4 linked regions of the Saccharomyces cerevisiae S288C genome follow. The gene in region 3 interacts genetically with the main gene of each other region. Each region holds a gene or a part of one and is shown on either strand. Other genes may lie near its edges. The genes, in order: ERS1, AAT1, ICS3 and YLR363W-A.

The links.
Region 1: mutations in ICS3 (region 3) and ERS1 together harm fitness more than expected from each alone (negative genetic interaction), as found in Saccharomyces cerevisiae (2 studies listed by BioGRID).
Region 2: mutations in ICS3 (region 3) and AAT1 together harm fitness more than expected from each alone (negative genetic interaction), as found in Saccharomyces cerevisiae (one large-scale study listed by BioGRID).
Region 4: mutations in ICS3 (region 3) and YLR363W-A together harm fitness more than expected from each alone (negative genetic interaction), as found in Saccharomyces cerevisiae (one large-scale study listed by BioGRID).

What each region holds. Positions count from the first base shown.
Region 1 is NC_001135.5:247,499-250,437, forward strand, and holds ERS1 (cystinosin-like protein ERS1), read right to left. Parts: upstream 1,318-2,939; coding exon 535-1,317; downstream 1-534. Other genes in the region: SOL2 (Sol2p), read left to right, coding at 1-412; EGO2 (Ego2p), read left to right, coding at 1,477-1,704; FUB1 (Fub1p), read right to left, coding at 1,795-2,547; deadenylation-dependent mRNA-decapping factor PAT1, read right to left, coding at 2,740-2,939. UniProt on the Saccharomyces cerevisiae protein: Cystine/H(+) symporter that mediates export of cystine, the oxidized dimer of cysteine, from vacuoles/endodomes.
Region 2 is NC_001143.9:235,715-239,426, forward strand, and holds AAT1 (aspartate transaminase AAT1), read left to right. Parts: upstream 1-1,821; coding exon 1,822-3,177; downstream 3,178-3,712. Other genes in the region: SLD2 (Sld2p), read left to right, coding at 1-73; YKL107W (putative short-chain dehydrogenase/reductase), read left to right, coding at 427-1,356; YKL106C-A (uncharacterized protein), read right to left, coding at 1,433-1,552; SEG2 (Seg2p), read right to left, coding at 3,471-3,712. UniProt on the Saccharomyces cerevisiae protein: Plays a key role in amino acid metabolism. Important for metabolite exchange between mitochondria and cytosol.
Region 3 is NC_001142.9:294,118-296,692, forward strand, and holds ICS3 (Ics3p), read right to left. Parts: upstream 945-2,575; coding exon 549-944; downstream 1-548. Other genes in the region: YJL077W-B (uncharacterized protein), read left to right, coding at 1-28; YJL077W-A (uncharacterized protein), read left to right, coding at 682-768; NET1 (Net1p), read left to right, coding at 1,128-2,575.
Region 4 is NC_001144.5:851,383-854,218, forward strand, and holds YLR363W-A (uncharacterized protein), read left to right. Parts: upstream 1-2,078; coding exon 2,079-2,336; downstream 2,337-2,836. Other genes in the region: mitogen-activated protein kinase kinase kinase STE11, read left to right, coding at 1-637; NMD4 (Nmd4p), read right to left, coding at 1,113-1,769; glutathione-disulfide reductase GRX8, read left to right, coding at 2,680-2,836.

The sequences.
Region 1 (2,939 bases), on a different chromosome or scaffold from region 3:
CCGCGGGTTTGCCGGTAGAGATTCCGTCAAACTTCCGATGTTCGACTTGTTCCTGCTTGGTTGTGCCCCCGATGGTCATATCGCATCACTCTTCCCTAACTTCCAGGACAATCTACGTGAGAAACTTGCATGGGTGGTGCCCGTGGAGAACGCTCCTAGTGGGCCCTCGACCAGAATTTCGCTGACTATACCTGTAATCTGCCATTCTCACAGGGTTACTTTCGTTGTCGAAGGTGCAACCAAGGCGCCCATCATCAAGACCATTATGGAAAGGCCTGAAAAGGGCCTACCTAGCAGTATTGTCAACGAAGGTGCTGCTGGTCGTGTATCATGGTTTGTTGACGACGATGCTCTTACGGACGTCCTCGTCACCAAAAAAAAGTATAAATTCCACCAAGGTTTGTCTATTTAAACCATGCATGTGTGTACATACATACATACACACATACATACATACATACATATATTTATGTATATTTATGTATATATATATATATATATATATGCGTAATTATGCAGATTTCTCCTTGTGTGCTACAGCGGGTACTCTGACGCCAGATCATGGCCTCGAGATCGATATACAAACCACTGCATGATAAAGATGAAGTTGAATATTAAAGTTACCATTGACAGTCCCACTTTTCCAAAATTTGTCACGAACGTATCCAGACTGAAACCTTGATCGTTAGACAACTGCCAAATCAATTGGAGCAGCGAGGCGATACCGCCAGTGACATCTAGAAACACACCCTGAATGGGGAAACAATCCATAGATTTTCTTGTCGAGTTATGCGTCACTTGTGGGATGTACTTGATTAGTGACATCGATATTTTGAGTAAAAACAAATTGTTGCAATACGCCAGAGTTCTTGAGTTATGCCAATCGTACCAGTAGTTGGAGTACATAAATTGTACGGTTAGCAGTGAAAAAATGGCCAGTGATGCGAGTAAAATCCTTAGGTACCATGGATTCATCTTGCGGTGACCTTTACCTGGAAATCGCCAGATTCTCGCTCCAGCTACCACCTGGGTCAATAAGACAACATTCATCAAGCACCCATGCAGGCAATACCAGAAATCAAATTGCGTCAACTTGGGCCTGCCCAAGTCAGACTCATCACCCGTCATTTTCCAGCAGTACAATTGCAAAAATATGGATATGACCAGGTAAGAGTAACCTGCCGTATTTAACATGACAAAATCCATCGATATCGCGCTCGCTGACTTATGGCGCCAATTGGTGATTATCGGTGGATACATCGATATCGACCATGACGTAACATACACGATACCTAGTATATCGTCTAACGACACCATTTTGCTTCGCGTTTGCTTTTGTTTGCTTTTAGTTTTTCTTCCCTTGTTTACATATGGAAACTCACCTTAAAATTTCAAGATTATCAAAAAATATAAAGGATTCCGCTATTAAAGGGCAATACCACAACCTCAAACCAAATCACCTAAACCAAATCAAAGATGGAAGCGGAAAAACAATCTGATATTAAGGGAACCATTGCTTTCGATACTCACGGTAACGTTATAGAGTCTACCGGCGTGGGCAGTCAAAGGATCGAAGATATCGGTGATTTATCGAAAGTTACGCTGGATGCAGAAGGTTTTGCTCAAGTTCAAGGAGATTCGCTACTCGTACACCTGTACAAACGCAATGATATCACTTTAGCTGTATATACCAGCGCTCAATAAATTCTTTCCTTCCCTTTCGACATAGCTATGTCTGTATACTATCTAAAAACTAAATATCACAATAAACAAAGTACTAAAATAAACACCCATTTAAATAAAGCCAGATCCTGACCCTCCAAATCCGCCGGATCCTGAACCTCCAAATCCGCCAGATCCAGGACCAAATGGTTCGTCGTACTTGGATCCAGGCATCCATCCTGGCGGCATATCTTCCCGTCTTGGGGCAGGTCTTCTATTTGGATCGAAAATCATACCGCCTTGGCTACTTGGATTCCCCAGAGGATTGGGAAGCCCTCCAGACCAATCCGGATGGCTTGTGCCAACAGGATACAGATCACCATCCGCATACCCTCCTGCTGGGTTAGCGAAGCTCGGTTCAGTTACCGTAAGTCCGGGATATGGGTTCAACGGTGCTGTTCCCTGGTTTTGTCTTGCTTGTGCCTGGTACTCATCGTCAAATTTTGGCATGTCCGCACTACCTGCAGTTTGTCTTTTAAGTTGTGTCATTATAGGTTTCAGGTCTGGCTCCACAGGTAAGCTTTCTCTTTCTAGTGGCCATTTCAATTCTGTGGGCAATTTAAAATCGCTGTAACCCACCACACATGCCATGGTGATCGACGTACCATGACGAATAACAACAGTATACTTGTCATTGTCATCCAGAGTCTGAATCACCACTAGCTCAGAGAGAAACGATGTTGAACCCTTCTCACTGGGAGAATCTTTAATGCGAAAACTCACTTGGCATGATTTGGTTCCCTCTGTATGGCGTGACACCACCTCAGTTTTACCGATGGACTCCAACACTAGTTCTGCTACCAGTTCAACCTTATTCTCAATCATTGTTTAACTCTTGCGTTACTATGGTGGTATTATTGATGCTAATACGGGTTTTTTATGAAAAAAAAAGGATAACAAACTTATATAAACTTATATAAAAACATATACAATAAATGATCTACAAAGGGTAGGAAATAAAAAATAAGGGAGAAAAAAAAATACATGCGTAAGTACATTAAAATTACAGGAAAAATCTTACTTTAGTTCTGATATTTCACCATCGCGATACACCAACCCCATAACGTTTAGGAACAAATTCAAATCTTGGTATAGTTTCTCTTTATTATAAATAATAGATTTTAACTCTGTGTCTAATTCTTGAGACCTCTGAGGTAATACACTCAATTCTTTCTCTTTCTTTTGTAAGGTCTCCGCCTCGTTAATAGTGGCAAAGA
Region 2 (3,712 bases), on a different chromosome or scaffold from region 3:
GAGCAATAACTTCAGAAGACTAAAACTGCCAAAGAAAAACCGATTCTCTAATGGACGATGGGGAAGAAGGTGAGCGTGATGGCGTAAATAATACAAACATTTGTAATTTATAGAAACCTATTAAGTATTCAGTTAGATTCCTTCAGCTGCATGACGTATAGTTTATATGGACATCATACGTATTTTTATCAATATAGAGACTAGCATGTTTTTACACTTTTTATTTTTGTTGTTCAATTAGGGGCCTCGTCCATATATGTATATATATTACATAATCTGCAATCATCAATTAGGGGAGGAATAATCGGCAGAGGTATAAATACAAAATTTAAAACAATTCAAGTGAATGAAAAGGTGAACCAACAAACAGAATATTACCACGTATCAAGGAAAAACTAATAATAGTATATTGGCGCATTTAGCAGGATGTTCTGGAAAAAGGATCCCACCGTCAGTTGGGAAAGAAAAAATATCAATGACATTGATTTTAGTCGTTTTAATGTGGCCATAATTGGTGGCACAGGTGGACTTGGACGTGCAATAAGTAGAGAGCTGGCCCAAAGAAATGCCAGGGTTACTGTTGTCGGGCAAACTTTTAGGGACGAGGACCTAAAAGATAAAATTAACTTTGTCAAGGCTGATTTAAGTTTAGTGTCAGAATGCAAGCGTATATCTCATAGTGATGAAATTCCCTACGAGGAGTTAACACATCTGATTTTCACTACGGGTATTTTTGCATCACGCCAGAGACAAGCTACAAGTGAGGGTTTGGAAAAAGACATGGCAGTGAGCTATTTGAGTAGATACATTATCTTCCATGATGTGGCGAAGCGATTAGGAATTAGTAGGACAAAAAAAGACGATTTGCCAAAAGTTTTCATAGCAGGGTTTCCAGGAAATGGTCAGGTGGGAGACCCAGATGACTTGAATTCTGATGAAAAGAAGTATAGTGCCTACGCTACACATATGAACACTGTGGCAGCCAATGAAAGTCTGGTCATAGACGCTAAAGACAGATACACGAATATAGATACTTTCGGTTTGAACCCTGGGCTGATCAAAACGAACATTCGTAATAATCTTCTTGGCAGTGACACCTACCTCAGCCGCATTACAGAATGGATAATCAGCTGGACCTGTCAAAGCGCAGAGACGTATGCGAAAACAATATGCACCCTGATTGCGAGCCCCGCTATCGAATCACGCAGTGGTACAATGTTCAGCAACAAAGGCGATGCTATTTTACCTTCGCCTGGTTTGACCAAAGATGTTGTTGAGAAGTTTATGGAAAATTCGGAACTTCTAGTTGAAAAGGCCTTGCGTAATCAAAGTCCTTTCACTTCCAGTAACGAATGACTTGCTGTAACTAATTGGTTTATATTTAAATATTTCACTTTTTAAAGGGCGTTTGCATGCGACCATCGTCGATGATTCATATTGTTCGGATGCGGAAGATGGCTTCCATGAGTTTTGCACGCCGTCTCATGTGATTGTTGGAGTCATAGCTCGCATATCTTCCTATTGTCAGATGTAATATCGACGGAAATGGCATCTTGGAGTATGGAAGCACTATTCTGCTTTGCTCCAATATTTAGGATGCCGCATTTTTCATATTTTTTTTTACATTTTTCGCTTACGTATATAAATTGCTAGCAAGTATTCGCTCTCTCTGTCTTGGTTATCTAATTGCTAACCGTCGCAATTGAAAAGAAAAAAAAAATACAGAATAGACGATAGCGGATTGAACGATAGCATACTATTGAGTGCGTTTTCCCTTCTCATTTGAAAATTACTATCCGTTTTTCACTGCCGAAAGACTTGATGTTGAGGACGAGGCTTACTAATTGCAGTCTATGGAGGCCCTACTACACGTCATCGCTTAGTAGAGTACCAAGAGCACCTCCAGATAAAGTCTTGGGGTTATCTGAACACTTCAAAAAGGTAAAAAATGTTAACAAAATTGACCTGACCGTAGGAATATATAAAGATGGTTGGGGCAAAGTGACGACGTTTCCCTCCGTTGCAAAAGCTCAAAAATTGATTGAATCTCATTTAGAGTTGAATAAGAATCTTTCATATTTACCAATAACAGGTTCCAAAGAATTTCAGGAAAACGTTATGAAATTTTTGTTCAAGGAATCATGTCCGCAGTTTGGGCCATTTTATTTAGCCCATGATAGAATCAGCTTTGTTCAGACTTTGAGTGGTACAGGCGCCCTAGCTGTAGCAGCTAAATTCTTGGCATTATTTATTTCAAGAGATATTTGGATACCTGACCCATCATGGGCAAATCATAAGAACATTTTTCAGAACAATGGTTTTGAAAATATTTACCGGTATTCCTATTATAAGGACGGTCAGATAGACATCGACGGATGGATTGAGCAATTGAAAACCTTTGCATATAACAACCAGCAAGAAAACAATAAGAACCCACCTTGCATAATCTTGCATGCGTGTTGTCACAACCCTACAGGTCTCGACCCAACTAAAGAGCAATGGGAAAAGATTATAGATACTATATATGAGCTAAAAATGGTACCCATTGTTGATATGGCTTATCAGGGTTTAGAGTCTGGTAACTTACTAAAGGACGCATATTTATTGAGGCTATGTCTCAATGTAAATAAATATCCAAATTGGAGTAACGGTATCTTTCTTTGTCAATCTTTTGCCAAGAACATGGGCCTTTATGGTGAACGAGTTGGTTCCTTAAGCGTTATCACGCCGGCAACTGCGAACAATGGAAAGTTCAACCCTCTACAACAGAAAAACTCATTGCAGCAAAATATTGACTCCCAATTAAAAAAGATTGTCAGAGGTATGTATTCTTCTCCACCAGGATACGGTTCTCGTGTGGTAAATGTAGTATTATCAGATTTCAAATTGAAACAGCAATGGTTCAAGGATGTTGATTTCATGGTTCAGAGATTGCATCACGTCAGACAGGAGATGTTTGACCGTCTAGGGTGGCCGGATCTTGTAAATTTCGCACAACAGCACGGTATGTTTTACTATACAAGGTTTAGTCCAAAGCAAGTCGAAATATTGAGAAACAATTACTTCGTCTATTTAACAGGTGATGGTAGATTGTCGCTTAGCGGAGTCAATGATTCGAACGTTGATTACTTATGTGAATCTCTTGAAGCAGTCTCGAAAATGGACAAACTCGCATAATTTTTTCACCTTACAGTTCACCTTTGTCTTTATTTTTTTATTACTTTTCCCTTCTCATTTTGCCACACAATAATTTATAGAATATAATAATTTTTTGTAATAATTAATAAACCTTTTTTTTATCTACTCTATATACACTTTTCAGATAACTAGATTGGATTAATTCGTGATCGAACTAGTTATTAAATTTTAAATGAAAAGAAAGCTAGCGCTAGCCAACTATTTTAATTACGGTGGCAGTGCATCATATCCTTACATTTCATTTTAGGTTTCCTATGTTTTCTTCTTTCAAATCATTTCCTGCCAAAAATTTTTTTCAGTTTCCTACCGAATTTACTGTGACCGTGACGGTCATGCGACTTATCTTTTATAGCTGCATCATCGTTATGAAGCTTGTGTATCTCTCCATTTTTATCAATGATAGTCACCGGAACGCTTAATGGTAAGGCTGTAGGCAGGTCAGGATTTGATGACTCCAAAGTGGCTGTTCCACCAGATATGTTCCTATTTGACAATTGGCTTTTATTTCCGAATA
Region 3 (2,575 bases):
AGAATTCTTCGACCGAGTTGAAACATGAGAACTGTTTCATCGGCCCTATATAGCAATTACATCCTTCCGTTGCTGGGTCCCTGCCTAGATACCATATTTGTTGTTGAATTAACCGCGGGAACCCGCAATATACGAAAGACGAACACAAGAGAGCAAGCACACACAGCTAGTGCGTAGCGTTGCTAGCTATATTGCCATGGTACCTACCTTTCACCTCCTTGTTAAATCCATAAGTGGACGGTTTTCCTAAACCAGTATTTATCAGTTCTCGAGCACGCAGAGAAAAGTAAACGAAGCGACCTGCATTGCGGTAACTATAAACACCCAGCCGCCTCCAGCAGAACCAGCCATGTGCGAAGAAAAACAATTTTTCGGCCAAACTTACCAACAATAGCGACGCGTTCCTCACATCGTTGGGTTTTTTTCGCCTCTCTTCAAGTTTCCTATACCCGAGCTTAACACAACACAACGGACCCTCTTAATTAGAGGTATCCTCCGTTCTTTTCTTCCGCTTTCCTAATCGAGATACCAGAGCACGGAACAGGACCCTAGTGCATCGGAGAGGAGATCCGTGGCACGCTCACTGCGCCTTTCACTATCACCGATTTCGTAATTCGAACAGGAGTATTTCGCTGCAGGGGAATTACTGTTTGTAGACGAGGGAAAGCAATTATCAGATACATGCCAGGGATAGCGTTCAAGGGGAAAGACATGGTTAAGGCAATACAGTTTTTAGAAATAGTCGTTCCTTGCCACTGTACGACCTGAACTTTACTCAACGAAAAAAAAATTGGAAAAAAAATAGTGCATAACGTTGCTATTAACAGATGTAGTACTGATATGTCCCTGATTGGTGAAGAGTCAGAATGATATAAGCCTATTTGATATGTACGTGTACGTATTCGAAAATAAGATTTGTTTCTCGTAGGGAGCGATATGTGCATTATGTTACCCGTTCCACATGTTTTGAACTTTTTTTCTTTTTCATGGTAAGCGTCAATAATCAATTTGAATAACTAGTGAAGAGTAGCTAGCACGATGAAATAAGTGCCGGAGCTGATCGAATCCCTAGTCTCGGTTCGCCTGAAACAGAGAGAAGTCGATTACTGTACACCGTGCCTCCTTCTATGTACAAGCTACAAGTGGTCTTGGTGCCTCCGAGTCTTCAGGCGACGATGCCAATACAGTTTGGCTACGGACCAACCATCGCCGAATCTTCTCAATTGTTGCCAAACAGAACTAATATGGCGCAAAGCGCCGGAGATGCCTCTTTGCAGTATGCTAATCTGAGATCTGCCAATGTGAGTTTCACGCCAAGCTATTTCAACCAGTCTAGGTTTAGGAAGTTTCTTTTGTTTACCAAGCCGACAAACACGCTGTTGAACTTGAGTGATGAAATCATCGATAAGTGTGAAAAAATGTACCCGAGTTTGCAAGAAGACATTGAAATTTTGAGTTTGCAAGATAACAGCGGTTGTGACCTTGATCCGGATTTTTTGGTAAAGGACGTTTTCAATGTAAATAATATCGTAAGAGTTATATTGAAGAATGAGATAGATCTGGACGATTCCGCACCAGTGTCACTTTATAAGTCGGTAAAACGATCCAAGTTGAACAACGGGTCGCCCCAGTCGGTGCAGCCGCAACAACAAATCCCGTCCTCTTCAGGTGTTCTTCGGATTGCCAAGAAGAGGCCACCTACAGGAACCACGACAACAACAACCATTCGTAGTGCCACTAATGGATCCATGAGGGTTTCTACCCCATTGGCTAGGCAAATTTATCCTCCACCTTCTTCGAAGATCGTCTCCAACAACTCAGATGACGAAGACGAAGACATTGGTGAAAGATCCTTTTTGCCGCCTCCAACGCAGCCTCAGTCACCTCCCATAAGAATTAGTTCGGGCATTGACGCAGGTAAAAAAATAAAATCAAGCATCGTCGAGGAAGATATCGTGTCCAGATCAGCAACCGTGGATCCAGATAAAACAAAGCAGCAACGTCTATTGTCCGGAACTCCTATAATGTCCACCATGACTCCAAACAGAGTTACTCTTACCGGTCAGAGAGTGGTTTCTGAACACGCACATAAAAACGAATTGGTTTTCTCTGCTTCAGCTTCTTCCTCTTCATTTGCTAATGGTGGCACAGCTGCTGTCACTGCTCAGGACATTAATAGGAAACCACCCGTAACCACTCCAAGAATAACATCAGGAATGTTGAAAATCCCCGAGCCAAGAATCTCAGAGATTGAAAAAGAGTTAAAAGAGGGACCTTCCAGTCCGGCCTCCATTTTACCCGCTAAAGCTGCAAAGATTCCAATGAAAAAACCTTACTTGGAAAATGGCGAGAACTACGAATCCGACGATAGCTCAAGTAGCGAAAACCAAGAAACTCCTGAAACAGAACCACATTCAAAGGCTTCCTTGCAACGTAGTCAAAGCTCCATCGCAGATAATAATGGCTCTCCGGTGAAAAATAGTCCTCTCGGTGATGCCATGCCACACAATGTGCATTTAGCAGAACTTCCCAAGGCAAGCAATACCTCGATCACCAAATCTTCAAATGGCGAATC
Region 4 (2,836 bases), on a different chromosome or scaffold from region 3:
TTTATTGAAGGAGTTACATCATGAGAACATTGTTACTTATTATGGTGCTTCTCAAGAAGGCGGAAATTTAAATATTTTTCTTGAATACGTTCCTGGGGGTTCGGTTTCCTCCATGCTGAATAATTACGGTCCATTTGAGGAATCACTGATTACTAATTTCACTAGGCAAATACTGATTGGGGTTGCGTATTTGCATAAGAAGAACATTATTCACAGAGATATCAAGGGTGCAAATATTTTGATTGATATCAAAGGTTGCGTAAAAATTACTGATTTTGGTATTTCAAAAAAATTATCACCTTTGAATAAAAAACAAAATAAGAGAGCTTCTTTGCAAGGTTCCGTATTCTGGATGTCACCAGAGGTGGTCAAACAGACCGCTACTACTGCTAAAGCGGATATATGGTCTACAGGATGTGTTGTCATTGAAATGTTTACCGGTAAGCATCCTTTCCCAGATTTTTCTCAAATGCAAGCGATCTTCAAAATAGGCACAAACACGACCCCCGAGATACCTTCCTGGGCTACGTCAGAAGGAAAGAATTTCTTAAGAAAGGCATTTGAGTTGGATTATCAATACAGGCCTAGTGCCCTTGAATTGCTGCAGCATCCATGGCTGGATGCACACATAATTTGAAAAAGGGCTACTTATTAATTCTTTTTATGGCACTAAAGTGCTCTGGCCGATTTTTTATCAAATAATACATATATATCATATTTAGTGACATTTATTGAATATATCTGCTATTTACCGGTTTTTTTTTTTCAATTACGCTGATTAAGTAATCATAAATCACAATTGTGAAAAAAAGACCAAACTAGATGACGGTATTTGATTCTCATACCCCTGGAATAAAATCAAGTAAGATAATTCTGATAAAAAAATCCGACCGCACAGATGGAAGCACGAAGAAACAGGCCTTTCTTTGCGAGGTGATATCAAACCATTGATATCTTCTCAATAACCTGCTCTAGGAAAAGGAGGTAGATAGACAAAAGCAAGGAAATAATCCATAGAGTTTCATTCACATGAATAATCTGTTACCAATTTTTCTCATAAGATAAAGCCATCTATCAAAAATGATATTGAAATATTTGAAAAATGCTTGTTTTTATGGGGACCACAATTCGCCTGTACCTCTAGAAGCGTAAACTGTTTTATTGAAGTTAGTCCTGATAATTTCTCTACCGTTTTCGCTTTCTTCCTTAGTGCCATTTTTTAGCATCATATTATTGAATTTTTCACTTTCTCTAAATGATTTATCATTCATGTCCTTGGACAAGATTGAATCTACATCAACAATTGAACAGGAAGGAATATTGCATTGCATGGCCATTTCCCGGATTTGAGGATCTTCACTAATTAAAAACCAATGTAGCCCCTCATTTCCTTCTAGGTAGCATTTGTAAATACAACTTTTCAACAAATTCTTTAATCTCTTAGGCAATTTTGCAATATTAATCTTTCCAGAACTATCATTATGTTCCATTACATCTGACCATAAAATAATGTCTAAAACTTCGGGAAATTCGATAAAAACTTTCAAATTAGCAAATTTAGAATCATCTAATCTATCGATAAACTTCAAGGATTCTCGAGCTGCAAAACTTTTACGCCTTTGTTGAAGGAAATCCAATTCATTTAATGTGAATGTTGGAATATAAAAGTTCAAAGTCACAGCTTCTGTACAGTCCGAGCACCACCTCTTGATGTTGCCTAGACCCTTTTCAAAAGCTGAAGCATCTATAATGAAATTATATTGTGTCATTAACCTGCTTTTTGAGGAGACCAAAATTGGAAAGAAAGAAGGTGCTTATATTTCACGAATGAATGATATTAGCAGGTGTAATATTCTTCTATAACACCACTACACTAACTTTTAAATTAAAGCGCTCTTCATTGTTACTTCAAATCAATTTCTGAGATTATGAAAGTCGTCACGTTTTACGAAGGTATTGAATTTTTCAGGTTCTTTTGGAAAATAGTAGTATACATCAGTTTATTAACGATGAGATGGTATTATTACTTGCACCTTTTGTAAAGATAACTAGTATTCATAAAGTCCATAAGCTACAATATGCCTCAAAAACCACTTAAAGTTACTAAGAAAGCCAAGGACCCCCGTAGGGTCACAAAGAAACAAAAAAATTTGAGAAAAGCTGCCCCATTGCAATTGAAATCAAAAAAGAAATCTTTGCAACATCTGAAGAAATTGAAAAAGAGCTCTTCCCTTACCGAAACCACTGAAAGATTAGTTGCGAGTAAAGTCGGGCATTTGGAGTTGTTGAGAGGTACTAGAAAGGAGTTGGAAAAAGGTAAGAAGAACTCTAAATGATTTCAAGTGAATAAGATTCGCCCATCATTGAAAGGTATTTATTTTCGGGTAAGGACTATCTAGGTACATCTCATCAAATTTTTTATAGTCCAATTTGATCCTAGTGTTTGTATATTAGCTTTGTAACTTCTAAGTTATCCAATAGAAAAAATGCGTTGCTTTTTTGTTTCCCGCGAGAAATTTAACAATATGGTGAATTAAGTGTTGATGCCACAGTTTGTAAAAAAAATCGACACAGGTTTGCTATTTAAGCAGACGTAAGTGTTGTAAAATTATGTATTCCCAGTTTGGCCAGAAGAGGAGTAAATATCGCATATTTATAGAATAAGTACAACATCAAATAATGTCTGCCTTTGTTACTAAAGCTGAAGAGATGATCAAATCTCATCCATATTTCCAGTTATCCGCCAGCTGGTGCCCCGACTGCGTCTATGCTAATTCCATTTGGAATAAGTTGAATGTACAGGACAAAGTTTTCGTTTTTGATATTGGTTCACTTC